3 linked regions of the Drosophila melanogaster genome follow. The protein of the gene in region 2 interacts with the protein of the main gene of each other region in a biochemical or structural test. Each region holds a gene or a part of one and is shown on either strand. Other genes may lie near its edges. The genes, in order: drk, shi and sau.

The links.
Region 1: the proteins of shi (region 2) and drk form a complex in vitro, tested with the Drosophila melanogaster proteins (one study listed by BioGRID).
Region 3: the proteins of shi (region 2) and sau form a complex in vitro, tested with the Drosophila melanogaster proteins (one study listed by BioGRID).

What each region holds. Positions count from the first base shown.
Region 1 is NT_033778.4:13,496,128-13,506,416, reverse strand, and holds the start of drk (downstream of receptor kinase), read left to right. Parts: upstream 1-3,575; 5' UTR 3,576-3,726; exon of another isoform or gene 3,727-4,492; 5' UTR 4,493-4,526; coding exon 4,527-4,604; exon of another isoform or gene 4,605-4,943; intron 4,944-5,408; exon of another isoform or gene 5,409-5,796; intron 5,797-8,527; coding exon 8,528-8,625; intron 8,626-8,684; coding exon 8,685-8,804; intron 8,805-8,883; coding exon 8,884-9,049; intron 9,050-9,265; coding exon 9,266-9,439; 3' UTR 9,440-10,289. Other genes in the region: mars, read right to left, coding at 559-1,817, 1,875-3,381.
Region 2 is NC_004354.4:15,890,673-15,900,551, reverse strand, and holds the start of shi (shibire), read right to left. Parts: upstream 8,353-9,879; 5' UTR 8,301-8,352; exon of another isoform or gene 7,971-8,300; intron 7,725-7,970; 5' UTR 7,548-7,724; coding exon 7,402-7,547; intron 5,860-7,401; coding exon 5,786-5,859; intron 5,718-5,785; coding exon 4,961-5,717; intron 4,891-4,960; coding exon 4,774-4,890; intron 4,707-4,773; coding exon 4,478-4,706; intron 4,406-4,477; coding exon 4,248-4,405; intron 4,187-4,247; coding exon 4,080-4,186; intron 3,846-4,079; coding exon 3,789-3,845; intron 3,451-3,788; coding exon 3,257-3,450; intron 1,598-3,256; coding exon 1,478-1,597; intron 1,109-1,477; coding exon of another isoform or gene 1,097-1,108; intron 298-1,096; coding exon of another isoform or gene 292-297; intron 1-291. Other genes in the region: CG15916 (uncharacterized protein), read right to left, coding at 9,065-9,879. UniProt on the Drosophila melanogaster protein: Microtubule-associated force-producing protein which is involved in the production of microtubule bundles and which is able to bind and hydrolyze GTP. Implicated in endocytic protein sorting.
Region 3 is NT_033779.5:2,221,471-2,234,013, forward strand, and holds sau (sauron), read left to right. Parts: upstream 1-4,871; 5' UTR 4,872-5,598; coding exon 5,599-5,811; exon of another isoform or gene 5,812-5,835; intron 5,836-5,893; exon of another isoform or gene 5,894-6,134; intron 6,135-7,795; coding exon 7,796-7,923; intron 7,924-7,986; coding exon 7,987-8,105; intron 8,106-8,167; coding exon 8,168-8,343; intron 8,344-8,407; coding exon 8,408-8,656; 3' UTR 8,657-9,629; downstream 9,630-12,543. Other genes in the region: papi, read left to right, coding at 1,859-2,163, 2,235-3,056, 3,109-3,215, 3,274-3,770; CG15387 (uncharacterized protein), read right to left, coding at 4,328-4,531, 4,589-4,735; Sec24CD (secretory 24CD), read right to left, coding at 10,578-10,718, 10,787-11,577, 11,640-12,507. UniProt on the Drosophila melanogaster protein: Phosphatidylinositol-4-phosphate-binding protein that links Golgi membranes to the cytoskeleton and may participate in the tensile force required for vesicle budding from the Golgi.

The sequences.
Region 1 (10,289 bases), on a different chromosome or scaffold from region 2:
CCGTTAAATTATACCGCCATACACACGCAGATATACTGAAATTTCCTTAGGAAATACTGGAAAATACTTCAAAATTATACGGAGCCATGAAGGTGAATGACTTGGGTAATATGTTAGCAAAGACTCATACCAAAACTAAATTCTTAAAATTTATTTAGACAACTTGAAAAATGCAAATATTTTAATATTAATTTTCTGGAACTCCAAAATTCAAGTTTTACTAGTTGAGTCGCGTAATCAAATTTCTGTGTTGTGATATTAAATTGTTAATTTTAAATTTCGATCCCCTTTCAATAAGAAAAGCATTTCAAATTTATTTATTCTTCTCTTTTTTATTCCTTTAACTATGTCTAAATTATAATCAAGGTAAGATAGATAATTAAAAATAAAATAAGCTTTCATTTTCACAGAACATACTCGTCGAACATTTAAAACGCCAAATGTAATTTTCAACATCTTAATAAATTAACACTTAATGGCATCCGCAAAAAAATATTAAACTAAGAAGATAAAAGTATAAACAATTCCACAACGGACAATTACTGTCAATAGACAAAACTACATAAACTCGGAGGAGGGACGCAGATTCACCCGCCGATTGCGCAGCGTGTACGTGCGAGGAGTTGCTTCATTCTCCTGATTGGAATCCCTTCCCGGATTCTGTTCCAGGGATCCGCTTTCCGTGGAGGCTTCCAGCGACATGTCCTCCTCGCAGTCCTCCAACTTGTCGGCGCCCACTGTCTCGTCGTTGCTAATGTTTCCCTCCTCGTAGGTGAACTGGAATCGTCGTACGCTCTTCTTGGCGCTGAAGAGCACGCCACGGTTCTGGCGTTTCGTGGTGCCGGGCGTCTTGAGGATGGAGGTGCGCGGCTTAGGCGGCGGCGTCTTGGCAGCGTTCTGCTCGGCGGCCGCAAGAATCGCTGATTTCAGGAGCGCATTTGGCGCAATCGACTGACGGCCCTCGCCGGTGGACATGCGGAGTACTGTGCGGGCGGGCGAAAAGGATCGGCGGTTGCGAACTACGATTACTCGCGGCGAACTGTGGCGCGAGGACGTGGCGGGCAGGCCATCCTCCAGCGTTGGCTCCTCCACCTTGGTCTTCTTCATGTTGGCATGGGCTTTGCGGAGGAACTGCTGCAGATTGCTGCTCGGCTTGGCCTTCGATTTGATCTTCATGTTGCGACTTATCTTGGGCTTGGGCTTCGGCTGTTTGGGTTCCTCGGCCACGGCATCCGGATCCAGCCAGTCGTTGGCCTTCCAACGTTTCAGGTTATCGAAACGCTTGTCCACGTTCTCGCTCTGCAGGCGCAGCATGTCCCACCAGCCCTCCAGATCCTCAGCCTGCACCGGTTTCGAATCCTCACTGCCATCGTTTGGCTGACTGTTCTTGCCGGTCGCTCCAGCCTCGCAACGATCGATCAGGCCGCTGAACTGCATCATCTTTTTTGTGGTCAGCAGACGTGTTTGACCGATGGTCACGTTGATCATGTCAATGCCGCCCGTTTCCTGCAGCCGTGCCTCATTCTCCTTGCTGTACGCCTCCCATTCAGCGCAAAGCGCTTGGAGGCGCGTGATCTCGTTTTCCAGCTGCAGTCGGAAGTACAGAACCGATTCAATGGCACGGCGAACTTCCAAGGGCGATTCCTCATTGGACAGGTAGAAGCTATTGCGTTTCTCCTTCTCACAGCGCGAGTTCACCTTTCCCCGCGAGACACTAACAAACGGACTGAGATAGTTGGGCATTCCATTGGATTCGCGACGTGGCGGTGTCTTTGTACCCTCTGGCACCAAAGTGGAATCTCCAGTGTCTTCTTTAACTGAAAGGAAAATGTGAGTTTGAGTTTAAGATTGGAGAAGGCGTATCCCAAACTCACCCGTCGTCTGCTGAGGATCCAAGATGAGCGAGTCCTCCGCCGGCGAATTCGCCACTGAGTAACGCGTAAAGTCGAACTTTTTCTTTGCCACCGGACCTGACGCCTCTTTCTTACCTTCCGGCAGCAACTGCCTTTTCACCGAACTTTCTCCTTCAGCTTTGACCGGTGCCACCGGGCTCAACAAGATGGTGTCGCCAAACGCCTCCAAAAGATGACCGCTGCTATTGTTCGACTTGCACTGCGTTGATGTGGCCTGGTCGATAAAGGGATTATGGATATCGTCTAGCGGCGTGAGAGGCGGTATATCTAGCGTGGCTGCGTGCAGCAACTCGGCTTTGAGCTGAGGAAGCTTTCGCACGTTGTCCTGAAGCCTCGTGTACTGGCTCTTTATCTTGGTGGCCTTCATTCGTATGGAGTGACTTGCTGCCTTGCTGGTCGCTCCAGCTGTGTCCTTGAACTTGGCCGCGGCACCACCTCCGCCACGTATAGGCTGTGGTTTCACGACATTCGCCCGTCGTGTCACTGGTGCCTTGTTTCCTAAAGGTTTCTCGAACGGCTTGGACAACACATTGGGCAGTCTAGCTGTCCGTGGCGCTGGCGGCTCAGGTAATCTTGGCTTTGTGCTGACCACTGGTGGCTGTTGTCGTATGCCTGGCGTTTTCGCTTTCGTGACTGTCGCTGGGGTGGGTCTGGGTATGGTGGTAGTGATCTTTTTCGCTTCAATCCCAGGCTGCCTTACACTGGTAGTTTGCTTCGTTGTGTTGGGAATGGGTCGTGCAGCTGCTTTTTGCCTGGCCAAGGCCACTGGATTGTTGTTCTGACGAATTGCAGGCACTATTTTTGTTGCAGAAGCAGCTGATTTATGCCTGGCCAAGGCGGAAGATGCAGCCACGGTATTGGATGACGGAGGAGCTGCTGCTGACGTTGGCTTGGGTATTGAAGGTTTAATCGGTTCTGCGGCTTTTCCCTTGCCCGTCGGATTGGCAATCATGTAGAGAGAACACCGCTTGGGAGGCTGGAACATGGGAGCCGCCTCCTTCTGCTTTGCAGAAGCCAGATTATCGGGAACCCGAAATGTTTGTGATTTGGGCAAGGCCTTTGATTGTTTTACTGTCGGCACATTGATGGCTGCGCCTCGACGTTTCTGGTCTTGCTGCTTATGCTCCTTGGTCTTGGCTATCTTCCACTCCATGTAGCGTTGTAAGTAGAGCTTCTGGCGGGAGACCTTCGGGTTGGATTCCTTCAGCAGTTCTGCGGGCTTCGTGTCCAGCCGCTCCGGACTCTCCAGTTTGGGTGCCACATTTTCCTGGGTCAGAGCAGCTTGGGCCGCCGCCAATTGCTTTATTTTGACGGGCGTCGGGCTCACGCTGATGATGCGGTTCTGATAAAAACAATCCTCTCGTTTTTTGGCGCGCGCCGCCTGCAACCGATCCCTGTTCTCCTGGCAGTGATTGCGCGGACTCAGCACCAGCGATTGCTCCTTGTACAGTTCCTTGTGGCGCTGCATGGCGACTGCTGTGACGGATGGGCGAGTCAAACTGAAGTGTCCGGTTGGGAATGAAACGTAATGCTGACTTTTCCGGCGAAGCGTCTCCTGTTTTGATTTTTAAAATGGCGAAGCGTCTTGCGGTGTGACCAGGTGAAGGAAAACTACGAAAGCCCTGCGGTATGCCTCTCCCACAGTGTTGTGTTCAGTATATTTTCTTGGAATAATAAAGCGACCCGGCCACGGTCACGCTGCTATGAAAATAAAAGTGAATTACAAATTTAGCAGTAGTAATATGTTAGCCAAACCGCTCCCGCGCCTAATTAGTGTCGCTTAAGCTTGCAGCCACCCTAGCCCTTTGAAATTGTAAGCCCGGCGGCCTCTTTGCACGTGCCAGAGACTCGAAAATAGTTAGCCGCAACTTACGCATATAGAAATATAAGCGCCGCGTGTGTGTGTGTGTGTGTGTTTATTGGGGTTACAAAAAATAAAACAAACAACAACGTCACCGCGGCAGCATTGCCAACAGCAAGCACCCACGCCCTAGATTGCCAAATGTTAATTGTGTTCTAAGCGACACATTTCATATTATTTAAGGCAAATTACTTCGCATAACAACAAGTAATAGCCAAACATCGTCTAATTGCTTTTGCGGTACCTGCTTTTCCCCGAAATTCCAAATCGCAAGCTGCTGGCAACGCTGCCACGCTCACGCACACACACCCACACAGTGGCCGCCGTGGAGAGAGCGGCTCGTGTCTGTGTTCATTCTCTGTTGCTGCTCCGCCTGGGAATGTCGTCGTCGTCGGTGTATTTTTAATCGCTTTCTTCCCTTGCCTTCGCACAAGATATATTATTATTAACCGAACTGAGAAAAGCGCACTGCCGAATATCCATGATTTATCGTTTATATAATGTGCGCTAACTAATCGCGGATTCGTCTCGTTTCGTTTTCATTTCCACAGCACTGAGTAGTGAGTGAGAGAGAAATTCAAAGAGAGTTAGAGAGAAAGAGCAGAGAACGAGCGTGTGTGTCTGTGCCTCTGTGTGTGCGTGTGTGTGGTGCATCAAGGCTGATAGAACTAAATCCAAAACTACAATTGCAACTAAATTTTAAAACAAACTCCGAAAGCGTTTTCTAACTGCGCACAAAACAACACAGCAAAATGGAAGCGATTGCCAAACACGATTTCTCTGCGACGGCTGACGACGAGCTGAGTTTTCGCAAAACTCAGATTCTAAAGGTGAGTGCTGTTCCAAAATCATCAATTCCCACCTCAAATCATAATATCTGCATTTATTCATAGACTTCACACTGAATGGGGGCACGCAAGGGTGTAAGGGGGTGCACAGGGGGACGTGGCAGGTCCTGCATGCATAATCCGCTGCGATGCAGCTGCCGCCGTCCAGGTCGTTGCCTTAACCCACATCCTAGGTTCAATCCCCAGACAGATTTTGTTACTAAATCGCGACCAAACAGACAGCAGTCGCAAAAGCTGGCTAAAGAGTTTCAAAAGGTGCATTCGCAGAAGGCAACACGAAAGGATTACGACTCATTAGCCACCGCAGCCCGAATACTCTTACTAGAACGAAAAGATTCAGTCAAATATATTCCACTATCAGTACAAAATCCTTGTGAAGCATCACATACTGAAATATTGTACATTCTACTCTACATTTTTTCATTTCTCAACTGCACTTCAAATCTATCAAGACCATATTTTTGACCCCATTTAATCTGCATATAGTTGTGATTAGCATTACAAAGTAAGTTTAAAAAATGATGTGAGGAGGGGGTTTCTAAAGCTATAAACATGCATATATGATTTAATCTATATACTATACTTTGCAAATCTAGCATTTTTCACTGTGTTTCCTTGAATGAACTTATTTATTGTTAGCATTCCTATAGTATATATACTATTTCAACTTTCCTTATTCGTTTTCTTCCGAATGCTTAGAAAAACAATTCCAACAGTTTGTAGTGATGATATATTCGATGCCCCCTTTGACTTTGCGGAACTTTGTGGGGGACATCCGATGCTTACCCGTGTTGCTTGTATTCGCTGGCTTTTCTGGCCAAGAAAAAGGCTGCTGGCAGGCTGCGATTCGATCTTTTTCGCCGCCTTGCTTCCTTCCAGGTGTTTGTGTTTGTGTTGGCTCACTGGCTCGATGGCTGGCTGGCTGGCTGTCCTAGGCCAAACCCTTTGTTTTGGCTGGCGAATTTTCCGGTTTCTTGTTGCCAGGGCGCGATGTAAGCTGATTTTCGTTGCTGTGTGTCTACCTTGTCGTAGGTTAGTCACAGCAGGAACCCAGGCCCGTGGCAGGTTTTCTCCCTTTTTGTGCCTCTTTTTTTTGCGCCTCTTTTCCATATGCCGCCGCTGCATTTGCAGCATTTGTTGCTGCTGCTGCCGCTGCTGCTGATTGATGGTGTCAATGACTCGCCGAAGAGGCTTCTTTATCGCCGCCCGAAGGTCAAGTGTGTGCGCTGCTCCCGTCCATTAGAGGGGCTTCTACGCCGTAGATGAGCCCTCTGTCCAGCTGCACGGTCTTATCAATGGGTAAACAATCCGCACTGATAGTCATAGTTCGTTTAATAGCCCATAGTTCTGGGCTCCATTGATGCGGGGGATAAATAGAAATACACGATTATCTCGCATTGGAGATATGTATGTTACGCATATCTGTTCGAACTCCCAGCGCATTTGTTTGTTTGCCAGCGATTAGTCACTTCTCGATAGCCTTATCTGAAAAGATGCCCCAATCCAGCAAACATACAGCAGGCATAGAAGGCGATAGAGAGAGGAGCGCTGTGAATCATCAAACATTTCATTGGGGTTCGTTCTCTTTCCAGAAAACTGGTTTACAGGTCAGCGTATTTCTTGGATATTTGGAGCTCCATTTTCCAAAAAAAAAAATGCCTCCAATTCTAACGGCCTTGTTGTGTGGGCACCAAAAGTGGCCACGTTTTATCATAACAATGTGAAACACACGAAATGGGATTCTGTGCTCAACTTTCGCTTGTCGCGAAAACAGCGAAAAGTGAACGTTCGTGTTGCTTTGACACTTTTTTCAGCGTCGGATTTCCGAAACGACAATAGAATTTTTTCTCTAGTAATTACATAAGCATACGAGTATAAACAATTGATAATAACAATCATGGCCACTACGTGCCTGCCTTCCGAAAGCGCCGCTAAATATTTATGCATTATCCAACAGGCACATTGCACATTGCCTGCACTGAAAAAAAAATGGTGCACTTCCTTATGCAGTTGGGAAAATAAATATGCGATCATGGAATACTTGGAAAGTTTATGTTCTTGAAGCATTTCAGCATATTTAAGTTTATATTATTTCTAAACCCTCTGGTTTTTCCCAGTGCTGAGCGGCGAGAAAACTTTCTGTAATAGACGACGAATCCGTGGAAATGAATTTCTCGGCGGCTGTTTTCAATGAATGAAACAATCTAAAAATAAAATAAATATACGATGAACAATGTCTGGGTGACAGATGCGGGCGGGATGGTCGGTGATCGCGGGGTGGATTAGAACTATGGAGCTATGCCAATTAGTCGGCCAGATCCAGCTGAGCGGGCAAAATCCCACTGCCACAGCCAACAGTGAGCACAATAATTGGGTTTTACATAAGCTGGAAACGACATTGACACCCCATCCACCTCCAGCTCCACATCACCCAAATCCCCTCCACATTCCGACGTGCGAAAATGTAACCAAAAAACTCGAAACATCATTATACGAATCGAATATGATATATCTCATATTTATATATATATATTTGTATCTTTAATTAACAAGAAATCGATCTGTGGGTTAAGGTATTATGTTTGTTATTAACCTCGTATGTTAGTAGCGTGTATAATTAACGATGAGACATTCATGGGGTAATTACAAGTTGCAACTTCAGAAAAGTAACCAACCCTCAACTACACAGTATCAACAGGGGTTTTTTTTGTGGGTGACTCATTTGAATGCCATTCCATTATTCCGACTTGACGAACAAGCTATATTGGAAAACAACAAAGCTACCAAATAAACACTGAACTGCTCAAGGGAAAAATGGCAGAAATCCATAAAGATAGGAATATGCTTTACTTAAGACTTAACTAAAAGTCGAAATCCTGACCTTTGCACAATAAACACATTTCCTGGGTATTTGTGCAACCGATTTCCTTGAGAAAAGCAAACAGATTCCGAAAACTGAAGGCTGCTGGGCGCCGTCATAAGCGACGAGATTCATTCATAAAAGCTCAACTCAGCACCTTCGAATCTGGGAATTCCCAGTGGCCAAGCAAATGGCGAGACCTTTGCAGATAGACAATCTTCAATTTCGGCTGTCAATCGTAAGATATCATAAAAGTAGTCGATGATTACGTAGGCAGCAGCCTGTTGTTGTGTCATTGGCATGCGAAATGGGCTAGGAAAAAGTTCATTAGATAGACAAAAGTGAAATTCGTCCATTCGAGTGAGTGCTCCGTTTCACTTAACATTCTTATCACATGTCGCGGCCATAATGCTTGCCTATTTTTAGCGTTTCGCAAGAAAAAAAAGATATGAGAATAGTGGAGATAATAGATAAATATGTACGTTTCATACCAAACCATAAGCCTATCTTCGCTGATTGCGCACTGACACAGTTTTTTGGGACAACGCTCAATCAACAAACAATTGAAAACTGTTCATCGAATCCACTGGGGAATCGGGCCAGTCGCCAATAAACAAAGCGGAAGAATGTCTCGATTGATCGCCATTGTCTGGGGGGGTTGGGATTAAAGGGGAGTGGCCCTCAAAATGGAAACAACGGAGGCAGGTTCTTACAACAAATTTTCGGGGATCGGATTACTCACTGTGCAGCTGGTACTTTGGTTTCGTGAGAAATGGGAATTAAAATCAGATGCTCCGGTTTTAATAACTTCATGGAAAAACCAAAGAACATATTTAACATTTAACTCAGCCTCATGAAGCTGAATATATGATTGTTTTATTAGGCAGGGGTAGAAGATTTAGGTAATTTTATGCCCATTAAGATCCTTTTTTCCACAAATCAAGCTTTCTTTATTAGTTATTTAATCAAAAATATGGTTCATTACATTTACAAACCCATTGATTTGTATTGCTTAAATTAACTTACATCCCTTCTTTTTACACAGATATTAAATATGGAAGACGATTCAAATTGGTATCGCGCGGAGCTGGATGGAAAGGAAGGCCTCATACCTAGTAATTACATAGAAATGAAGAATCACGAGTAAGTCGAGCCTGAAATTTCCAATATCGAGACCCAAATAATGATCATTTCTATTGTAGCTGGTATTACGGACGCATCACACGCGCCGATGCTGAGAAGCTGCTGTCAAATAAGCACGAAGGCGCCTTCTTGATACGCATCAGCGAATCCAGTCCCGGCGATTTCTCCTTATCAGTCAAGTGAGTTGCGCTTGAATGGCTTCAGCTTTCATATTTATGATTGAAAACCGTATATAATCGAAATTCTTTGCCCCTTCAGATGCCCCGATGGCGTTCAGCATTTCAAGGTTCTGCGCGATGCCCAAAGCAAATTCTTCCTCTGGGTGGTCAAGTTCAACTCCCTCAACGAACTGGTCGAATATCATCGGACGGCGAGCGTGTCCCGGTCGCAGGATGTCAAATTGCGTGATATGATACCTGAAGAGGTGGGTGTGCCGTCCATTCCATTCCATTTTGATGTGATGAGTTTGCTCAGCAAACATGCAGATTCATTTTAAAAATACAAATTTCGCATAACACATTGAGGTCATGTTTGCGTACGATGCCGCCGCCACCGCCCACCCATTTGAACTATAAACAAACAGCGATGCCAAGAGTATTAGATTGGATTCATTATGTCCGAACGATTTTTTTTATTGCAGATGCTCGTGCAGGCGCTGTACGATTTTGTGCCACAGGAATCCGGGGAATTGGACTTCAGACGCGGCGATGTCATCACCGTCACAGATCGCTCCGATGAGAACTGGTGGAACGGCGAGATCGGCAATAGGAAAGGCATCTTCCCAGCAACTTATGTGACGCCATATCATTCATAATAAGATAACTTCTAAGGAGGGACGCCACACACAATCCTCTCCGGGAAACGCGAAAAACACAACACACACCCATAACGATTAGGCAGCATTATCAGCAATTGCGAATAACAACAAGAAGAAACTAAAAAACACAAATTTTAAATATTTATATACAAGAAACGTGGACATAAATTCTGTAGACAACGTATAGAACAACACAAGTTTAAGCCTTTAAGCCGAATGCATTTTTTACGTTTTGACGTTTTTTGATAAAACAATTACATTACGATAACATTACGAAATCGTTTAATAGCAACTGAGTGACACTTTAAACTAGATATGTAAATTTATTTGTGTATTTATAGCTGCGGCCGAAGAAAAAGGCATTTGATCGGAGTTTTCCTTTGCAATCCTTCCGCACAGAGGACGAAACTCACTTGCTACAATCTTGACCGCAACTATAGGCATATGCAAGTATGTCTACATACCAGACCAGGCACTATTATTATTATTGTAAACAAGCGGATTTTTGATATAAATATATAATTTAAGTTCGATAAAGAGAAGTTCTGTCCTGTGCTTTTGAACGTGTGTTGAGGATTTTGCCCTACATGTGCTCTTTAGTTTATGTTTTGATGTTTTCAAGGAGTGCGTTTCGCAGCGAGTGAACACTTATATTATTATGATTATATGATAACGAATTACCAACCAACCAACCTAATGCTTAACACGTTTTATAGAAAACAAAACAAATTCACTATGAAAAGAAAACTTTTGCCTAAATGTCTCAAAGCTGAAGACAATTAAAACAAAATTTATATTATATTATCGTAAATGCCTACCACATAAATTAAATTAATTTTTGCATCGC
Region 2 (9,879 bases):
GTCATCTTGAAATTGATTAAAATCAAGGAGGAACAATAGAGCCGAATATCCGACTATGTGATACCCGCTATTGTTAACCCGTTTCAAACAAATGAAAACAAATCAAGCCCAACTACTAACTTAGTTTTTATCTCAACGATTATTCAGATATACGGAGGACATGGATATATCTTAGAAATAATTACGAGTAATTTCAGTAGCGGGTATAAATGAATAATTATATCGTGAGAAAATGCAACAATTTAATAAGGAAAAAAATCAAACCAATATAAACAATTGAAATCAACATACTTTTTGCTAAGTAAACCAACCGGAAGAAATTATTAATTTTTGTGTGTATTTTGGCGTTTCATAGATAGATTGGTCGTTTTTTTTTTTTTTTTTTTGTTTGGTAGGTGGCGGAAAAATAGAAGAGAACAACATGTTCACAATCGTTATAAGAAACCAGTAACAATGCCATAGTCGAGCAGCCGACTATCTTAATCAGTAATTCTAAGTTAGTTAAATAAACAAGATGGAAGACCGACAAACTACAACTTTAGCTGATGAAAAGAAATGTATCACAAGCCGAGTGGAATGAATTCAATTTAAGTGGAAAACTTTGATCAAAACTCTTCAATTTTAACACAATCGTAAACGAATTTATATATATATATATCCAATTTGTAATACTCGGCTTGTGATATGGTAATTTATCGCACCTTTAACCATTTAAGGGGTTACACCATCTTGAGACTTCGAGGTGTACTAGCTCATATGTATGATTTTTTGTAATGTGATGACATTTAAAGCCGCAGTTATTATTTAATTTTAGCAAATCCTCAGCCGATTAACAATATGTTAGTAGTTTAAAATTTGGAATTTCTATTTTTTAATAATAAAAACAATTTGTATCTAATAACGGCTAAAATACCTCACCAGACTTTAAAAATGAAACAACCGAAATTAAACGAAAGATAAATGATCAAAAGTATGTTAAAAATAATGTATTAGTTATTAGTATTCAAAATCGCATACATTTATACGAAATTTAATTGATGAGTTTACTAAACAATATATATGTATATATTCCGAAAAGATGCAAAGATTAACAAACCTCTTGTCCTTCCTGGATGACGAATGCACATTTAAAGCATCGATATTGCGAGTTATTTTGTTGATTTGGTCAATGAAACAGCGGAAACAAAGATATATAAATATATAGATAATGTAGTAATCGGAAATGCTTTCAATTTAAGTGGAAATATCTAAACGACAACTATGCCATCTTAAAATACAACCTTAAAAATTTCAGCTTTTTTGGAAAGCTATAAAACGCCATATAATATAATAATAATATATATTATATATATAATAATAATAATATATAATATTCCTATAAAGCCACTACTTCGTGTAGCGCTTCTTTTCTAAATCCAATTAGTATCGAGTTTGGCCTTAGATCTAGGGATTACTAGTAAACTATCTATGTACGCACCTCATCGCCGTTTTCCTGAGTCTCCTGCTTTTCGGGATAGACACCAGCTCGCAGGAAGGATGCTTTCCAGGACTCCACATCCTCCACAGTCTCGCACGAGAGCTCCAGTTGTTTGTAGTCCTAGAATACCGGGTGTTCGAAGGCAGAGAATGAAACATTTTTGATACAAAAGCGCTATTTTTGCTTAGCCTAATGGTACACTACATTCAATTGAAAATCATTATCAGTTGGGTACGGGATTCACTTTTGTCATAAAACGAACGATACGCTTTCACCCACTCTGCTGGTCCTGAATTATAAAAGACTAACTCTTTGAAGATCCTTGAAGAGGCGGACGAGAATCCTGTTTTCAATGCGGACGGACTTACAGAAGAGAAAAGGCTTTATCGATTAGTTGAAATGTAATAAAATCAAATGGCAATATCACGTTATTTTTTTGTAGATATACCCATTGAAGATTTCACACTTTTCGAAAGTCGTTGTAGAGCAGTGTAGCCCTTAAAAAAGCAAGAATTGTTAATATAGTGCTGTTTCGCCTTTATTGGCAATGGCAACAAAGTGGTTTATATATTGCTTTATGTTTCATAAAAACTAACTAAGGAAATTGAGCGAACTAGCCTTAAAACATGCCTAGATGCTCTCAGTTTTTAATTGAATCAGACCATCAGTTCTTTTGAATCCAGGATTTCGCAGTCCGTGAAGAGCGATGCCTTGCTGAAAACGCGTTACATAATCTCAAAAAACATATTTTTTTTAAATATTCAGACGGTTTAGGTATTGCTTGTAGTGAGTGACATATGAATATAAAAACCATTGGTAGCTTAAAGATAAACGTTTAATTTGTGTATTAAGTGATGTTTTAAGTGGTTAGACATTACACTAAGCAAAACTGTTTGTTGAGTTGTTAAGTTTAGTGTAAAATAGCCTAGCTGTTCAATTCAGAGGCAGGAAGGAAGTTTCTGGCATAAATGAGGGATGCTGGATGAAACCACCAGGCGACTGACTGGCACACAATGATTTGGAAGGAAACAGCGTCCTAAAAGTTCCGAAAAGGAAGGAAATAGGTAGAGTTATAAGCCCATTGCTGTTAATTCTATCGGAAAACTCGTTTTTTTTTTTGGGCTAAAAAGTTCAAAGCTTTTAAAGAAGTACAGAGAGAATAAAGCAGTTGTAATGGAAAATCGGAAAAAGTCCCTTCTCTTAACCTTGTACAACCAGTATAAATCACATGATTATATCATGAGCTTTATTCTGCCTGCGAACGAGGTTGCATTTTAAAAATCGTTATCGATCACTATCTTTTTGGAGAGTGCAATATCGATTTGAAAATTATTTTGAGGGAATGTATTAATAGCTTTTAATACAATCGAGAGGTTAGTTAATGACTAATGGATGACTACTTTTTGCGCGATTCATTGTGAATCAAATAGAGCCGTGAACTTCTTAAGCTAAAAGCGCACATCACGAAATCAAAAGGCAAAAGGAGTTTACGACGCGGCAAGCTCCTTTTCCTTCAATTCGACTTAAATGTTGATAAAAACATAGTAATTTTTATATTATACAAAAAAATAATTAATTGATCTCTTTCCCGGACTATTTCAACCAAAGGATTCAAATTGGGGTTATATAATGAAGATTTGAAATATTTTGCGTAAAAATATCTTCAAAAATTGCTTTTGTTTGTTTGTTTAGTTATTTTGATTTAAAAGTTTTTCTCTGGTTTTGTTTTCTGAAATCATTTAAAATTCATTTTTTTGTATGTTAACAAAAATTACTAACCTTATAAACATTACGTCCATCGGGACTAAATAAAGCAAATGTAACACGTCTAGACATTGACATAAATCCCTGTTCAATATCACGCAATTTTAAACCATCCAACGGCAGCATAAATTTCTTCTCCTTCTCATCCTCGTCCTTATACCAGGAGATACTCTCGGATGTCAGCACAAACCAATACGGACGCGATCCACCTGCAAGACACACATGCGAAAATCAATACGTATCCATGAAATCTCCAGTTTAAAAAAACGAAACAGTTTTTGGGTCAGTAGATGCAACGCTCGTAAACAACTTCTTCGCCTCATCGAGAAGTAATCATCATCAATTTTGTTAGCTAAGCTGGATATTGTACCTACGTATCCTTCATATAAAGAAGGATGCTCGACGCGCCTATGGAAGGTCAGCAGCAATCGTGTTCGATTCGAGTGATTCAAGAATGATTGAAAGTATAACACATGCAAAAGAGTGGCGTGTTCTAATTAATTATCCAAAGAACGCAAAGCAAAAGCAACAGAAAACATGATAGTACCTGTAGAAGGACTGAAAAATCGTACGTTTAGCGGTCCAGATCGTCCTAATTTTATATCTTTCAATGACAAAGACAATATTCACATAAAAAATACAAATTATAAAAGTTTCAAAATGACCACCACCAAGCCACCAAGCGGTGACCAGTCTTAACGCACTTCTTCTTTCATTTCGGAAACGTTGAAAACTAAATTTCTAACAAAGCATTCTGTCACCATTTACAAGGTTACTGCCCTTCAATCAATAGCAAGTTGATTGAGAATGTCATTGGGGGTGGGGGGAACGTGCATACCTTTCATGATTCCAAGGTTCTGGATGACCATGTGACCCTTGCGAATGACTTGGTTGCCCAGTTGACGAGTGCCAGTTTTGTTGGCATTCTCTGATTTGTTTTGAGCGCTATAATGAGTGCAAGATTTAGTTTTTCCCTACGCCCCTTTCCAAATGATCAAATACGCACTTGGCGAAGCCAATGAAGTCCTCATGATTGGTGTTCATATAGGCCAGCTCAAAGTCAATAAGCAGCAGGATCTGTTCCTTGCAGCTATGCTCGCGTTGGCGCACATGTGTTGTGATAATACGTTCGGTCTCCTCACGCAGACGTGGGTATCGACTCATCTGTTCAAAGATAAAAAAAAAAAATATATAAACTTAGTGCTTAGCTTGGTGCCAGCAAATAAGCCAACTTACTTTAGCTGTGCACATGCGCACGACCACAGAAAGTTCCTGTACGACTAGATCGACACACTTGATAACCGGCTCCTTGAGCAGCGCTATCTGCCGCTTGACAATCGCCTCGAACGCCATGTCGGGTGTGAAGAGGCCAACGCGAATACCATGGATATTTCGAATTGCAAATGAGATCTCTCGTCGCAGTTCCTTTTCATCGCAAGCCATCTTTACGATCTCAAAGCGCAGACTGAAGCAACGAGATGTTATCATATCAGTTTTAGGGGGCTTTTCAAAAAGACACCACAAACACCTACCGTTCATGGAAAATGCGATTGATCTTGGCGCCACCTGAGAGCTCGTTTGTGTTCACCAAAGCTGAGCCGCTGCCCTCGATAGTTCGCTCAAAGTCTGATTGCAGCTGCTGAATCATTCTGTAGGAATGTAAATACACCAGTTTAATCAAGAGCTACAAACGGAAATCCTTTTTTTTTTTGAACTTACTGGAGCATAGCTTTTGTTTTGATGCTAGCATCGCCTGGCTGAAAGTGCTTAAACTCCTCCACCTCCTTCTCCAAAGTGAGCATCTGCTTCTGCAACTTATCCCGCAGGCCAGGTAACGTGTCCCTGATGTGATTGGTTAGTTGTTGGTTGAGCACGCGCTGCAAGTAGGGGGTGCCGAGACGGTCGGCCATGTGCCGATAGGAGGGATGGCTCAAGAAGAACTTGCGTTCGGCGGCCAATGCCTGGTGGATATCCTTGCGCCCCTCGATATCCTTTTGGGATCTATTCACCACGCCAATATAGCCACGTCGCAGCGGAAGCAGCTTATTCTCCAGAATGTCGCGTGCATCGGTGCCCTCGTCCATCAGATCCAGCTTGGTTATAACGCCAATGGTTCGCACACCCTGTGGATCCACCTCCTTGGCCAGCTTGAGGGCATCCGAATTGGCCAGATCCGTATTGGCCGGGGTCACAGCCAAAATTAAACAAGTCTCTTTGCGAATAAATTGGAATATCATCTGCTTAATTTGCTGCTCAATATCCACCGGTTGATCGCCAATGGCCACCTTTGTCAGGCCTGGCAAATCGATCAGGGTTAAATTGAGTACGTGCGGCGAGTAGACGCGCAAATTAATTGGAATGTTTGAAATGCCTTTGTTACTACCGGTCACACGATCCGTTTCATCTTCGATTTCTTTTCTGATCTCATCGAAGCTGGAAAACTTCTTGCCTTTAATGTGAAGGAACTCGCCATATTCTGCAATAAATATCAATGTTAGCATTAGAAGATAGCTTCTCTTTAATCATATCAAATGCTCAACTTACCGGTAACTCCATTGATCAGTTGCAAGATTAGTGGTCTCCGAGTTACGATACCAGAGCCGCGCGGCAAGAAATCTCTGTAAAATGGGGAAAACGTTTTGTATTTAATAATGGAATCATAGAAGTCTTTGGTTTTTGGATTGTGGAGCCTGTTCATCTAACAATATTACTACTGGGCTTAAGAAGTATGTAGAAAGCATTAAGCCTAGTATCAAAACATTTTGAAATTGCATCGAATAATGAGTATTTGAGTTGCCAATACTAAAAACTTAATGGAAATTTAACTTATGACTTGCAGCTAGTGTTTAAATTTCCAAGTGAGAACTTCAGGACTCCAAAAGTGTTGGGCATTGTTTAATACCACTGAGTACTTAAAGTAAAGCTATTTGTTAGCTAGGCTAATAAATCAAATGGTAAATGGGTCATTTTGAACACTCTGGTCACCTACATCCTGTTCGCACTGACCAGAGTTAGAAGAAGCCTTCATTTTCCATTGACATTAAGACTTTGGCCTGCCGTGGCCGTGGGTCTCGCTGCCTCTCTCGCTTCCTCCGATGGCTCAGTGGTGTCAGGTGGGCGGGGGGCGGGGTAACCACCCTAATTGACACACATACATACATTCATACATACATATAAAGCACGGCGCATGCGAAATCTAACTGGACTATTTTGAACATAGTGGACTTATGTAAGCACAAACTTTACATGGCTCAATGCAGTTTGTAAATACATGAATGGGCATATTGATTAATGTTCTTTTTCAGCGCACCCCCCCCCCCCCTTATTTGCAAGCTATGAAAAATAAATAAATCGACTCTAAAGGAGGTCAAACTTTTACAAATATATTCGAAAGTAAACATATAGAATGTGAGTTACTCTACTCAATCGTTGGGCAAGAGTGGGGAAAAACTTAAATCGCCGACACACTATCATTTTGGCCTTATCTGCATTTTTTTGGGGCGTAAGCCATTGTTTTCTTTATATGTTTGTATTTAGAGTGGACACTAACAAAGAAAAATGAGAGACAGCGCAGGCTTATAGATACAAACACACAAGAAATCGCATTGATACATACAATTTAGATTTCTGTTTAACAAAATTCAAAATACGTATACGTAGATGTTCTACAATTCGTTTTGTGAATATAGTTTGCAGAGCTGCGGGGCTTTTGGATTTTCAACAGCTTTGTGCAGGTGAAAGATAAAATTCTTATTATCATAATTAAGTTAAGACCACTGATATGGTTTGGTCATTATGAGCAAGTACACTTGTTTCGTAGACACCAATTATTGATTGTTAATAAACAACCAAAAAAAAAAAAAATAATAATAATGCCTGAAAGCGAGTGCTATCAGCGATTACTCATAGTTTTTCAGTAACATTTAATTGGGCATTCCACGAAACGCAGACATAATAGAAAGAATAGCGCTACTTTTCGCTGAGCACTGGCGTGCAGAAAAATCGATTCGCTGCATGCCAAAGAGGGGTCTCTTCAGGTCCATTATCAATCACAATATATGTAGGCTAGATATTTGGGGTGCTGATAGGGTGATATGGTATGATAGTATGATCCCATATGAGAGGATAATATGCTGATAAGGCGTGCGGGGGATACTCACTTGCCCACAAAGTTCTCCAAAACGGAACTCTTGCCAGCTGACTGGCCACCGACCACCGCGATCTGCGGCAGATCCAGTTGCATGTGGACGCCGAGCGATGTGAACGCATCTTGCAGCTTGTTAACAATTGTAATTAAACTATCCATTGCGGCGAGGTCCGATTTCCCTCACAATTAGATTAGATTAGATATCAGATCAGATCAGATCGAACTGCGATCCCAACTCGTCCGGATGTTTGTGTTTTTACTGCTCAGCTCCCGGGTCTTTTTTTTTTCTATGCTGTTTCCTTTAATCGCTGGCTTTACTTCACTGCACACACTCCTCTGCAAAATACAATTGCTGCATTATAAATACTTTCATGCGTTCCATCACTTTTCTTTTCGTTTGTATAGATAACACAAAAAAAAAATTGACAAAATTTGTGTGCGGCGGTGGGGGTGGTGGTTAATAACAAATATGCGTAAATCGTGGGGGAATGGGGAAAATTGCAAACAGAAATCGTTATTGGAGAGCACTCATGAGTTACTCATTCTCCCACACGATTAACCAACCCGATATATTGTATGTACCACCACAATAACCTTTCTTGCTTCTTCGGATTATAATGGCGATGTAGCGAAACTTATTGGAATCGGAATTGGAATCGCGAAGAAGGTAAAGACGGGTATGATTGTTGGGTTTTGCGAGCAAAAGTGTTTATCGACATTTACACGAAAATAATTTGTATATATACTCCCAAACGAATTTATCATCGACTTTTCCAATTTGTCACTTATTTCTCAGGCGTAACTGTGTTGTGTTAGTGTAGATGTCATGTTTATCGCCACAAAGAGCGCACTGCGATTTGGGCTTTGGCTTGGTCTTTTAAACAAATATTCTTCTTATTGTGCAAAACTGACAACTATCACCACACTCCGCTTCCAAATCGTTTCAATGGATTTTTTCGACTAAAACTAGAGATGCAAGAAAGTAATCAATCTGTACCCGATAAGCTGGTCTGGTCTGATTTTTTTTGGTATAATTGATAGGGCTGGGTGAATCACTCGCGATACATCGATATATCGAATAGTTTCCGTATGCCGAAGCTAAGTGTTGGTTTCGATAACAAGTCCAGTGCTTTATCCGACATCGATATCAATTTAAGCGCAAGGTCGCCTACTATCGCAACTATCAAAAACAGCTGATTTGATTACATTAACTTACAAGTAATTATCTATCTATTTATTAAATTAAATGCACATCTACAATATGCATATCCTGAAGGGAATATATAACCAATACTAAAAGCTTATAAAACTATTCATTTTATGCGCATGTCCGGCTTTTCTGCGTTTTTGCTTTATATCGATAACAGATACAGATGCAGTGCGCAAGCTTTAAAAGCATAATAACATAATCGAGTATGGTAATGATTTGACCTTTGACATTCAATTTTAAGCCGTTAAAGCTTTTTTTTAGAAACGCAATCGATACTCTATTTTAAAACCACTCAACATGATGAACTAGTTGGGATAAAAGTAGCCAACATTTCAAACTTATTGGAAAATGATTAAACGTTTACAGACCCTACCCCTATTTTCAACTTTAGAACCCAATTTACATTGGATTGAATAACACTTTAATAATTAACATTATGTACATAAGTCGAGGGATTTAACAAACGTTAGGTTTTCGCAATATTTTGTCTATGATTAACCCAGGCATCTTTGGACTTGCGCATCTTGCCGAGAATCTTGTCCATAACTAAGCTATGGTTAAAACTGAGGAAATCCTGTCGCATCTCCGGCCATTCCTCATCCGCAGCCGTCTGACAACTCTGTGCGTCGCTTTCTTCAACTTCCGCATTTGAACTAGAGTAACTGTGCTGAAGATCGATTTTGGACAGAACCTCGTGGACCTGATGGAGACCAGTGCTCGTTTTGTCCCGGACAAACTTGATCTTTGGCACTTCGCCCATCAGATGGAGCTGCGATAGCTCGTGCTGCAGTTTGCCGCTCATGCGATTCAATGTGTTCTCGAGCTCTTGGTTCTCCCCGCCATCCTTGCCCATCCAATAGACATTGATGCGGGAGAAGTCGCTGGTGATCTTGACATAGGAAATCTGCACTCCGTGTCCCACGATGGAATCGGCAACTGCGCCGGTGGCCAGAATATCAGTGATGTTCGTCATGAACAACTTGTTCAGAACAGACATGCGTCGATTGTTGTGGCTGCAAGTTGTCTTCGAGTGTGGGGTTCCAAACTTTAAGGCGTGCAGCGACTTTTGATTGCCTGATGTTCCTGCATCGGGCGATGGATACCAATGGCTTTTGCTGCCTTTAAGCCGATTTCCAAACAACGAGCCAAATATTTTTCCCTGTCGCGTTACGTTGTCTTTGCTCGACCTTTTGGAGCTCTTGTTTCGCGAAAGTGCCAATTGGCAGGCGTTGTTAAGAACGGAGTGTCCATTTTGTAGCCTTAAAACACGAATGCTTAACA
Region 3 (12,543 bases), on a different chromosome or scaffold from region 2:
CCGGGGAAATAGAGCGTCCGAAAAACCATTAAAAATTAGGGTAAACATTTCAGAAGATCCAGACTTGAAGCTATCTTTAATGTCTTACGCTTCAGCTTCTGGTTTCCATTCAGAAATCGGTTATAAATCAAGAAGTGGGAACTCAAACACAACTTAAACGAAACGAACGGTTCATTATGTCACTCCACTAAATTTAGCACTACGCTCTTCTACGCTCACCGCGCTCTTTTACACTGAGAACAATATAACTGTATATGCTTTAAATGGATTAGTATTATAAGAAAGCTTCAAAAAATACTTGTAATATTTATTTAATTCAGAATGATGATTTTGTTGCGAATGCAGATGTTAATACCAAAGCTTTTCTCTCGGTGTGTGGACTCTCTATTTTTCATCAGACATATGGCTGGTTGATTTACGCATTGTTTGCTTTGCATTATTTGTCTTTGTGCCAGTACCGCTGTTAATTACCAGTTCCTACAACTCACAATTCGCTATTTGCAAATCAACCGGCAAAGTAAACAACAGAGAGAGAGACGGAGAGAATTGATTGCAATCGCAAAACAGCTGACGATGCTCTCTCGCATTCGCTGGCCGTCTGATTCTAAATGTTTTCCTCAGTTATGCCTGAAATGTAGAGGCGAAATCAAGTTCGGCCGCGAGAATTAAGCCATAAAATTTACGACTTTTCGAACGAAAAACGAGACATAAAAATGTGAAAACCAAACAGCGAATGGCTTTCAAATAAAACGCTTCATTGAGCTTAAGCGCTTTTTGCTATCTAAAAATCGAACTTTAAACAAACATAGACAAAAATTCACGATCAAGGTCAGTGGATATGTACTCTATTATGTGTTTTGTGGCTTGTTTACATATGGCCAAAAATAATTGGTACTCGTTTTATCAGTTCGAGATAAAGGCGGTTTGACTCGGAGGAAGTGCATTCATGCTTGGAGCCCAAAGGTTAAACCGGTATGATAACGCCGATGAGCGCATAAACCCGTTTAACTTGTCCAAGAACCAGTGCAAAGCTCGGAAATATCGCGATTTATTGAGACTCAACAAGTGGAATAGTAGATACACATATGCATGCATATATTATATGCGATGGAAATCGGAAGAGTTTTTCCATCTTTAATTTAAATAGATTTTTTTTTCTATTTAAAGCAAATCTTGAATTTTGCTTCAAAACAACATATCAGAGTATTTGTTCGTTTTGTCTTGGAATTGCTCGATTCTTCAATCGGCACAAAAATTCGCAGTTTAATGGCGAAATCCGCCAGGCAATGCATTAATCGCTGTAAGTGGCTGAATTATGTGGGCTAGTGTACCCCAATAACGTCACTTGTCTATTTATTCCGTGCAATGTCTACCTAAGCAATTTCAATTATGAAGTCACTCGCGAATTGTGTGCCAAAATTCGTTTGTTTGCGGCTAGAATTGCTTGTCTTGGGCTATTTGTCAAAACTGATATCCAGTGAGTGATAGGATTGCATAAGAAAAGGGGGAGTGTACATCGATACTGCGTACCCGTAGGCCTTTATTGATTCCATAAGACGACATTAATGCTCGTACCAGTCGACTTGGGACATCAGATGGTCTTGAACTTGTTCTATTTTTGTGTTCCCAAGCACACGCAACGATATTAACATATTAAAGAGGCCTTGAAAAGAGGTCTTAATGCTTTTTATTTATTTTTAAGTTGTTTCAGTGGGATTTAGTTGCTCGTACTGTTGATATGTAATGTTGTGACCAGAAATATTTTATTTCAGTTTTCGAAAACCTCGAAAGGCAGACTTGAAAAGGCTGCCCCAAACACCCAGCTCTACGCAAATCCACCCACAACAAGTTAATCAACATGTTGCGCAACACGCCTTTCGGTGCCACGCCCACCTACAAACTACTTCTGGGCTTCGGACTATGCTCCCTTGGGGGCGCCATGCTATATGCCTATTTCAAGACTCGAAACGACGAGGAGGAAGCGGACTCAGGTGGCCAACGGCCGGCATCCGGGATTAGAGGACAGACAGAGGAACAGAAGCCCCAGAAGGAAGTGTGCCTCAAAATCGTCGTGGACAACGAGCATGTGCCCCTGATAATGGGTCGCGGTGGATCCAATATCAAGTTGATTGAAGAAAAGACCCTGGCCAAGATAAGATTACGGTAATTGGATTTGAAAATTATCGACCCAGGAATTAAACCTGACTAACAAAAATCAAATTCTTCTCCTCCAGAGACAAAGACAGTGGCCACAAATTCTGCGACATTAGCGGCGTTCCCGATGCGGTTAAGGCGGCTCGAGCTCTGCTTATCAAGGAAATTGAACGTGCGCCCGTGGTGAAAGTGGAACTGCAGGTGCCCCAGAGGCTGGCCAGCAAAATTAACGGACGCGGCGGCGAGCTCCTCCAGGAGATCCGGAGCAGTTCGCTAGCCAAGCTGAATATCGATTTAAATGGGCGGAATGGAAAGGCCAAGATTACGATTATCGGCAATCAAAAGCAAGTGAACATAGCCCGAAAAATGCTGGATGATCAGATAGAGGAGGATGAGGAACTCGTGCGGTCCATGGAGGAGGTGGAACAGCGTCGGGAGCCCCGCAGATCTCCCACCAACAGCATTGCGTCCAGCATGTACTCCTCCCAGACATCCCTAAGCTCTCACACTCAGCCCAGAGACAAGCTAATGGCCTCCAAGGGCGAGGGTAAGCCAATGGAGGTTTATGTCTCCGCGGTGGCCTCGCCCACTAAATTCTGGGTTCAGCTTATCGGACCGCAGTCCAAGAAGCTCGATAGCATGGTCCAGGAGATGACCAGCTATTATAGTAGTGCTGAAAACAGGGCCAAGCACGTGCTGACTGCTCCATATGTGGGTCAGATTGTGGCAGCCGTGTTTAAGTTCGACGAGAAGTGGTATCGCGCAGAAATCGTGGACATTATGCCTAACCAGTACAATCCAAAGGAGCAGGTGATCGATCTCTACTTCGTGGACTATGGAGATAGCGAATATATTTCGCCAGCTGATATCTGCGAGCTGCGCACTGATTTCCTCACGCTCAGGTAAGCAGTTCGACTGATTGGATAGACATAAATTTATATTTCACTATTTTAGGTTCCAAGCCGTTGAATGCTTCTTGGCCAATGTAAAATCTACCATCCAGACGGAGCCTATTACGTGGCCAAAGTCTTCAATCGCAAAGTTCGAAGAGCTGACAGAGGGTATGATTTCAGCAACAGTTGCTAGATATATTTTTGACTAAACACCGAACATTTGTAGTGGCACATTGGAGAAAGCTGATTGCTCGAGTGGTGACCTACAAGGAGCGTCCACGGGCAACCACCGCTGTAAGTGCTGCTGCCAAGGAGGGAACCCCGCTGCCCGGAGTGGAACTATTCGATCCAGCCGACAACTCTGAACTAAATATTGCCGATCTGATGATCACCCAGGGCTTTGCTCTGCCCCTGGACGATTCGTATCCAGTGCGGTCACGCTCCTCGACGCCCTCAAGTAACAGCGACTCCACCATTGAGGAGTTGTGCGTCAGCAATCCAGTGACTCCGCTTACGCCCCACTCACCTATGTCGATGTCCATTGATGTTGACAGCATTACGCAGGCGGAGAACGAGCACCTCGCCCAGCAGCTGCAGCATTTGCAGCATAAACTGAACGGAAACGACATAAAAAACATTAATCCGGCTAAACTGACGGCTACAGACCTCGAAAACGGGAATAACAATAATGCCAGCACCACAAATGGTGCTAGCGCGCATTAGGATTTCACATTGTTACTAATTATCCTCGCCTAATTGTTTATAAGATGAAGGCTGGACGAGCAGCTCACTACTTGACGTGTACATAAAAGTATAGCTCTTAAGGAACTTATTGTATAGGTACGAAAGAAAACTGTTTAATTTATCGCCGTGACTGATCGACATATCCTAGATCCTAAAAGCTGACGATGGAACGGCACAGATCCTTAATTGTTTATAGCAACCTTTGCCATGTTACTTATTGTTAGCAAGAACAAGAAAAACATTTGTACATCAACAAAAAATACACAAAAAAGATCACAAACTTATCAAAAGAAATGCATTTTATAAGAATATCAAGCTTAAGTCTATTTTGGTGGCCTGTTTCAGAAATCTGTATTAGAGAAGTATTTCAATATTCTTTGAAAATAAGATTTTCTAGATGACGTTAAGGCATAATTGAAAATGAATATAGTTTCTTCAAATGAAAAGGGCTACAAATATTAAAAGTCGCTTAAAGTATATTAAAAAACCCACCGGGGGGCAGAATTGCAGTCTTGTTTGGGGGATTTACCCCACGCTTAGATTAGGATGTCGTTGGTGGTGTTTATAGCTATGGGGGGCAGGTATATGGCGCGGATCTGACTGCGCAGGCGTACGATTTCCATGTCGTCCCTTTCCATTTCTCTGATGAGCTGGGAGAACTGGACTAATCCCTCGCGGTTTCCAGGAAACCCATGACCCTTAATGACCTCCAGTTGGAGTTGCATCACCAATGGAAAAACCTGCAATGTATTATGTTAAACTATTTGGTTATTTGTTTTGATTTGCTTGGTATTTACGTGCTGCATCATGAGAATCATCTCTTTTCCAGCGGAAGCCTTTGCCTCTGAGAGTTTCTTCGAGTTTTCCGGCTGATTTACACAGCGTATTATGTCCATAAGAATTTGCTTGGCAGTATCACTGTTGAAATTGGTCAAGTAGGACATTATAAACGTTTTAACGGCAGTGTTTGTGACGAATTTAGGCAAAATGCAACAAATTGTAGTAGGTTTTATTTTGTGTTTCCGTTAGAGATGAGTCATACAGCGATTACAACTATCGGACAAACTATCGGTTCGGATTCATAACATTACCAAACCCTTAGTATGGACAAGGAACTGTAATATCATTCAAACAAAAACTTTACGATTAAATAAATTAAGCTGAATTACAAAAAATTAAGAGTAAAAGTTAAATTAATTTCGTTTTAACAGCACCTCTAGAAGCAAAACGTTATCCAACACTTAAGGTCTGGAAAATTGCCAGTACTGAAAAGTGCGGAAATCATGTCACGTCGGAACGTCGACAAAAGACACAAATAATAGGAAAAAGCTTATTTCGCGCAGGCACTCGCATATTCCCAGTAAATGCAAGGCCAATGCAAATGCACCATTAGTACGGGCCACCAAATTGTAAATCAAACCGTCGAGTTCCCAGCGCAAAAACGCCGAGCAAAGCAGCAACAACGAAACGCAGTTTAGGGCCTGCATTTTTGCGATAGTGTGAAAAGTGCGTGTGTGCAAAAGAATACAAAATAAAGGGGGCGCAAAAGAGTCAGTGAAAACAACAACACACAAAAACACAAGACACAAGTACACAGAGAAAAACGCAAACACCCGCACTCGCGCAAACAGACACACACACACACTGTGAAACTCCCAACGTCGAGTCAGCAAATTGTGCCACACACACAAAACGAGGAAAGAGGAAGAAGAGCAGCAGCAGAAAAACATAGGTGCTCCGCTCGCATCCCACATCTCCAAAACTCCATCGATCCGAACTTCCCGACTACCCAACCCAACTCTCCGGAATGAATCGCTCCGACGGATTGGTGCGTCGCTCGGTGAAACCCCGCGAAAACGGTGGGGCGGAGGGTGGGTTGAATGCCAACACGCCGGACGACAACCAGGATGCACTGGACAACCTAAAGGACCAGGAGGACAATATCGACGATGGCGACTCCAAGGAAACACGACTAACGCTCATGGAGGAGGTTCTGCTGCTGGGACTCAAGGACAAGGAGGTGGGTGTGCTCCTTATCTCTTATCTGCTTGGGATGCACTAATTAATTGGTTTCTTTCGCAACATAAGTGCTTCTTCTTCACCTGTTAACCGACGTCTCTCTCTCTCTGTCGCTCTCACGATTTCTCTCTTTCGCAACCTCTTGCTTGGCCCCAAGTGCAACGCAGTCCATCTTCCAGCAGGGGCGTAGTGAAAATTGGATACAGGGGGGTAACTTATCACTTCAGTTATGGGGGCAACAATGTTTATCTGTCCTACAGATAAACATTTTATGCCATGTCTTAGCCACTTCTCTTAGCTTTTCCAGTTTGTTAAGCAATGCACTATGAAATCTTTTGACCAGCCTGCTGACTAATGCGCAATCAGTGAGACTGCCAACACCATTTTCTTAACCACTTTTGTTTTTGCATTAATTAATAGTGTGCTCCATCTGTTAAGGTCTAATCAGCCGTTCATTCTAATCTATAGAACCCATTACTTGCCCTTTGTAATACTTTGATGTACTTCCCAAATAAGTGATGATATATTTATATATAGTATATAATAGGTTTATTTTATGTGTTACACTATCGCGCAATTGCTTCCAGTGCCAAATCAAAAAGATTCTTAGAATTGTTGCCAACGTTCTTAGTTGTTGGAAAGATAGCGCTCTAATACTTCTTCGGTTGGCAGTTGTGGCTATAAATACATACATATCTCTTCGAGAACTTCACTCCGCGCAGCACGGAGAACGGTTTCGTCAAACGAGTTTTCCAATAAGTGGTTAATTTGCATAGGTTTGTAATATTCATAAATCTACGTATAGCGCGGGATGATGTCCGTAAATGCGAACCATCATCCATACGTGACCCATTATGGCGAACAGGCAGATTCGCATTTCTCCATTGAATTCGGTTTTTATATTTCACTTGGCACACAGCTTTATCGCTCAATTGCTGTTCGCTTGTACCACATAGGAATGCACACATGTGCCTTTGTGGCTGGCACCACGTCTATTTGTTTTCATCATTTTGCCCGCAGTGTATTTGTGTGACCACCCACACCTCCATCCCTGCCACCTCCTCTCCCTTCGCATAAGAGGGATACGAGCTGGAAACAGTGGGACGTGTTGCCCGCTTTTGTTTTACATTCCCCTTCCGAGCGCTCTTATCGCGAAGATTTTGTCCATTTGGTTAATTGTTTGAGGAAGTACATACTATCAAGTGCTGCTCTCCTCTGCCTAGCTCTCATCCGTTTCGGGCTTTTCTTATGTCAGTACGTCACTCATTTTCGAAATTATACAAAGTACTTGGCTTCTACCCACACCATCCATTAGGAAAATTTCAATATCTCGAACTGCCGAACTGATAAGCGACGTGTTCTTTGCAAATGATTCACTTTTATACCTTTCGTTCGGAACGATTCCTTATCAATCATCTGAGCGATTGTTATATAAATTATTTTAAAATCGTGAAATGGCATTGAAACGTGGTTGAGGTATCTATCTATACCTTCCAATTATCATAGCTTTTCAAGCGTTAATAACAAGAGTAATTTTTGTAATTGATTTTTTATGTGGTTATAACATAACTCTTCTTGTTCGTTTTTTCATTTATACTAGCTAGATAAGCATTGTATTTTTTAAATTGACAGTTCATACACTTCTGTGGGCAAGGCCTAAACAAACTCAAGTGTTTAATGTTTTAACAACTGAATACTTTCGTCTGGGAGCTTTACGACCCCGGCAACAGGGTAATTATTCATTTCTTTTACGCCCAACACAAGTGAAAAGGCCAAACCATAGACTTGCTCAAATATATTTCAAAACCTTGAAACATGAGACAGTAACCATTTGTTAATGAAGTTTGTACTTACATTTATGTTAGATAGAATTTAATAAAATTTTAAAAAATAAACAAGTAACGCATTCACACATTCTTATTTTTAGATGCCCATCCAGGCCAATCAAATAGCTTGAATCTAATAGCATTTTTAATTACTTTCAGGGCTACACATCTTTCTGGAACGACTGCATATCAAGCGGCTTGCGCGGATGCATTCTCATAGAGCTTGGACTGCGAGGTCGCGTGATGATCGAGAAATCTGGAATGCGGCGACGTGGTCTATGTACAAGGTATGTATAGAAATCTAGTTTCCACATCCTTTCAGAAGCATGCTAACTTCAATTCGCCAACAGGAAATTAATACTGAAATCGGATCAGCAGACGGGAGACGTTCTACTCGATGAGGCACTTAAACACATTAAGGAAACAGATCCCCCGGAGACGGTGCAGAGCTGGATTGAATATCTTAGTGGTGTGTATTTAGGCGCCTGCCATTTCGCCAAGTATGTTTTGTATAACCTATTGTTGTGGCAGGTGAAACCTGGAATCCGTTGAAATTGCGCTACCAACTGAAAAATGTACGCGAACGTCTGGCCAAAAATCTGGTGGAGAAGGGTGTGCTCACGACGGAAAAGCAAAATTTTCTACTCTTCGATATGACGACACATCCGCTGAGCGACAATGTTGTCAAATGTCGCCTGGTGAAGAAGGTGCGTAACTAGACTTGGATATATTCAAGAATTCTAAAACTGAATCCGAAATGTATGACTTCAGATCCAAGATTCTGTGCTCTCCAAGTGGGTCAACGATCCACAGCGCATGGACAAGCGGATGCTGGCGCTTATCTTCCTGGCGCACGCCAGCGATGTGATCGAGAACGCCTTCGCGCCGCTGAATGATGACGACTATGAGGTGGCCATGAAGCGGGTGCGGGAGCTGCTGGATCTCGACTTCGAAGCCGAGTCGGCCAAGCCGAATGCGAACGAAATTCTGTGGGCGGTGTTCATGGCGTTCACGAAATAGACGATCCTCTGATCCTCTACGCTCCTCTCAATAGCACACACACACACACAACACACACCCCAACACAGAAATACAGACCCACATCTGGAATACATTTTGCTGCTTTTGTTTTAGAAACTTTGCTGTGAGTGGAACCGAATCGGGCGATAGGATTTTCTTAAATGGCAACCACCCCAAATATCTGTTTCAGTAATATATATTTTTTAAGCGAGACTATAAAGCAGCCATAATTCCTATTTAAATATACATATGTTTATCAACACTTCAATAATACCAATCAAACGCTCCATTGTCCTTTAATTTTTTCCTGTTCTGTTGAGCATAATAATACATGCCAATGTTTTGCAATCATAATCAGTAAGTTGTGTTCCACGACACATAGAGTTTAGTTGATGATTTCTCTGGCAATGCAAATCAAAATGTATGATGGAAAATTTAAAGCTGCAGCATTGTTTTTGTAATTATATATCTAGCACTAATTGTAAGCGCCAACAAGAAAACTTTGATAAAGTCTGGGCAAGCTGCGTGCGATTGTCTATTGTCAAATATCCTATATATATTTTATCAAAACTTTTCAATTCTATTTTTGATTGTCAAGTATTTTCGAGCCCTTTCCATGTATTCGATTGCGCGTAGAAAATCAGTTCAAAACGTTTCTCGAGCTCCGCAATTTTACCTTAGTACGTTCGACCTTAAGTATGCACCCACCCACATGAACAGACAGACATGCAGACAATTTGACACGGAGCGACATTCAATCTAGGCAATGTTTTAATTTAAATTGTTATTGAATTTCGGGAACATTGAAGTTGAAAAACCTTTTCTAACTGCTAAAAGAAAAATAAAGAACGACAAGAAGTGGACAGCAAGAAAAGAAAAATTATGTAAATGTAAACTGTGCACGTCAAATAATACTAATTCTTAGATATTTAAAGGCCTAATAAAATACAAATATAAAATATATAACTGACGCAAAATTGAAAGTTTATTGCAATTTCGGTTGTACCCCTCCATAAATCAGAGGAAAAATATAAAACATTTAATGAAAAATGGGTGATGAGTTTTAATAAAAGGGGGAAAGCAAAAGTGGACAATCGTCGGAGGAGAAATAGGATTCTTTCCGGTGTGACGACCAATCCGATTTAACTTATCTACTTGAAAGCATAGCCCAATTTTTGATTCGCTTTTTAATACAGTTTTTATTCCGTTTTTCATTCTCAATAAATGTGTTTTTGTTTTGCAGTGTTTGCATTTCTTTCGATAGTTGAAGGGGCAATATACCATATAAGTCGAGTAATTCTCACACGAAACATTTAGGTTATAATATAATAATCTTTCAATGACATAAAGTATGATAAAAAGCAGGGCGCAGCGCACAAATTATTGCAAAAATACATTAGGCCAAAAAGGATGTGAACAAAGAAGTGCTCTTATACTATCCGTTAAATCAACTAGCAGTTTTCAACTGTGGAAAATTTGCAAGTAATTTGTAATTACAATTAAACATATTCATGGAATTTTATAAGAGAATAATTTTTTTCTAATTTTGCAGATAAGCAGTTGCCTCGTTTAACAAATGTTTCGTTTCTAGCGCAGCCGATCAAAAAAAATACATACAAATATATATATATAAAGTAAAACAAAGCAAAATATGAAAACTTTAATAAAATTAATGGAAGAATTGATACGCTCGAAATGATAGCCATTAATTAATATATATGTATATGTATTTTGATGTAAATATAATTGAAGTTCCAACAGCTTTCAGCGCCAGTTTCTGCTTCTGATCCTAAACCCTTTGCATTTCTTATTTTCCGAGGCGACTGCGCATGGACGACAGACGACGCATCCGAGCCCTGTTTTGGGAATAACTGTCCGCCCATCGCTGCTCGGGCTTGTATGTGCCGGAGTAGCCGGCGTGCTAACTCAGCAGATCCTTAATCTCCTTGTGCATGTGACACAGGAAATCCACGTAGCTGGCGGAACCGTCTGTACCGCGGTCCTCCACGAGGAAGTGTCGGAACACGCTCTCCAGTTTGTCGTTCTGCCGCAACCAAGTTATCTGAAGAAAAGATTAAGATCGTTACACATTTCCACGAAGGCAAAGATTTGATCACTGCAAATACGCACCCTCATGTATCGCGAGCGCTCCTTCATGATCTGCTCTAGGATGCCGTGTATGCGCTTGGCCAGCGGCGTTTCTGGAACAATGTTAAACCGCTCCAAAGCTATTTGCTGAAGACCCTGAACGCCGAACACGGACTGCACAAAATCAGGCGACAATGCCTGGCCCAGCCAGACGAAGAGGTGGACTCCATTCTCCAGGATGTAGGCGCCATCCTCTTGCGTCTTTTCGTGCGTGCAGCGAACGGGAGTCGGCAGATCTGTCTCCTCGGGTACAACGTTGTGGATGGGAATGAAACGGGGATACAGGTAGCTGACGGATTGGTTTAAGTCCATCGACAGAATAAACTGGATAACATAAGATCGATCGTCTAGCGTCATGTCCGAACCGCCGGAAATAGCATCGTTCTTGAGCAAACACGAGGCATACAGTGGCAGCAGCTTCAGGCACTCGGGAAGAATCAACTGGCCGGCGGAGGTCGGCGAGGTGCAGTGCTTGCGATAGCAGGCCAGGATTTGCGCCGATCGATGGATTAGGTTGTCTTTCACCTGCTTGGGTGAATGCTCCATCAACTTGAAGCAGGCCTGCTTGGCGAAGAACAGCATCATCGCGTCCAGGTCGCAGCACTTAAAGACATCCGCAATCGTTGTTGTAACGCGCAGAGCAAGGTTAAGAATTCGCAGACGCCTTTGGCCGCTGCACGAGGTGTACAAGAGTGCGACTTGAAGGTACACGTTCTCTTCTGGTGCCAGCTTGTCGTCATGCTTGATCTCAATGCTTATCGACTTGGTGGCATCTGGAAATCGAAAGGAATATTATTAACATATATAAAACCAAAATGTAGCCGTGATTGCATACCAATACTGGCCAGCTCCACATCAGTTGTATTGGACATGAAGAAGTGACCATAAAACTCCGTGGGTCGAATGCCAGCCGATGTCCGCACCCTCATCACCGCGTCGAAGGCGATCGGTCGCGATACGTTCTTAATGATATCCTGTATTAGTCTCTTGCCATCCACGTCCGCCTGGAAGTAGGTGTACTTGAACACCTCTCCACCAGTCAGCCGAGAAACCTGCCCAATCGTGGCCAAGTCGATGTAGGCGTTGTTAAACACGAATAAGTCCACGGAGCAACCCTGCTGGACGCACTCCTGGCCCAGTGTGTTATATGCAGTGGTTTGTGGAGTGAGTACGGTTTTCTCCTTATCAGTTCCCAGAAGCTTCCGATCATCGCGATTCTTTAGCTTGCCAGGCGCCTCCGCGATGGGTAGCGTTGAGTTAAACACCAGCAGTTTTCCAGCTGCATTCGATGCCTTCAGTGCCTCCAAACCCGCTTGAATGGCAGGGTACAGAATCGTTTCGGTTTCCTTGGTGTCGGCAAACATACGAGGGATCTCTTCCATCAGAGCATCGATTACAGCAGCCGACTCTTCTGGGTGGCACAGGAATCCATCCAGCAGGGGCATGAACATCTCCTGGACATCGCCCACAACCATCATTTGCGGCTGGGCCAGACTGCTCTTGATATTGTAGAAATGCACGGTGCTGTTGTACGTGATGAAGCCCACCCGCACCTTGGATTTGTCTTGACCCTGGTCGACAGGCAAATGCTTGAGTATGTTCTTGATCTGGGAGCAGAGCAGATGAACCAGTCCCGACTTCACGGTGTTGTAGGAGACGTCGATGATGAAGATAAAGGCGGGAACCTCCGGGGGAGTATTGTTCTGCGGCAAAGGGAAATAATTAAAAATCAGTTTAGT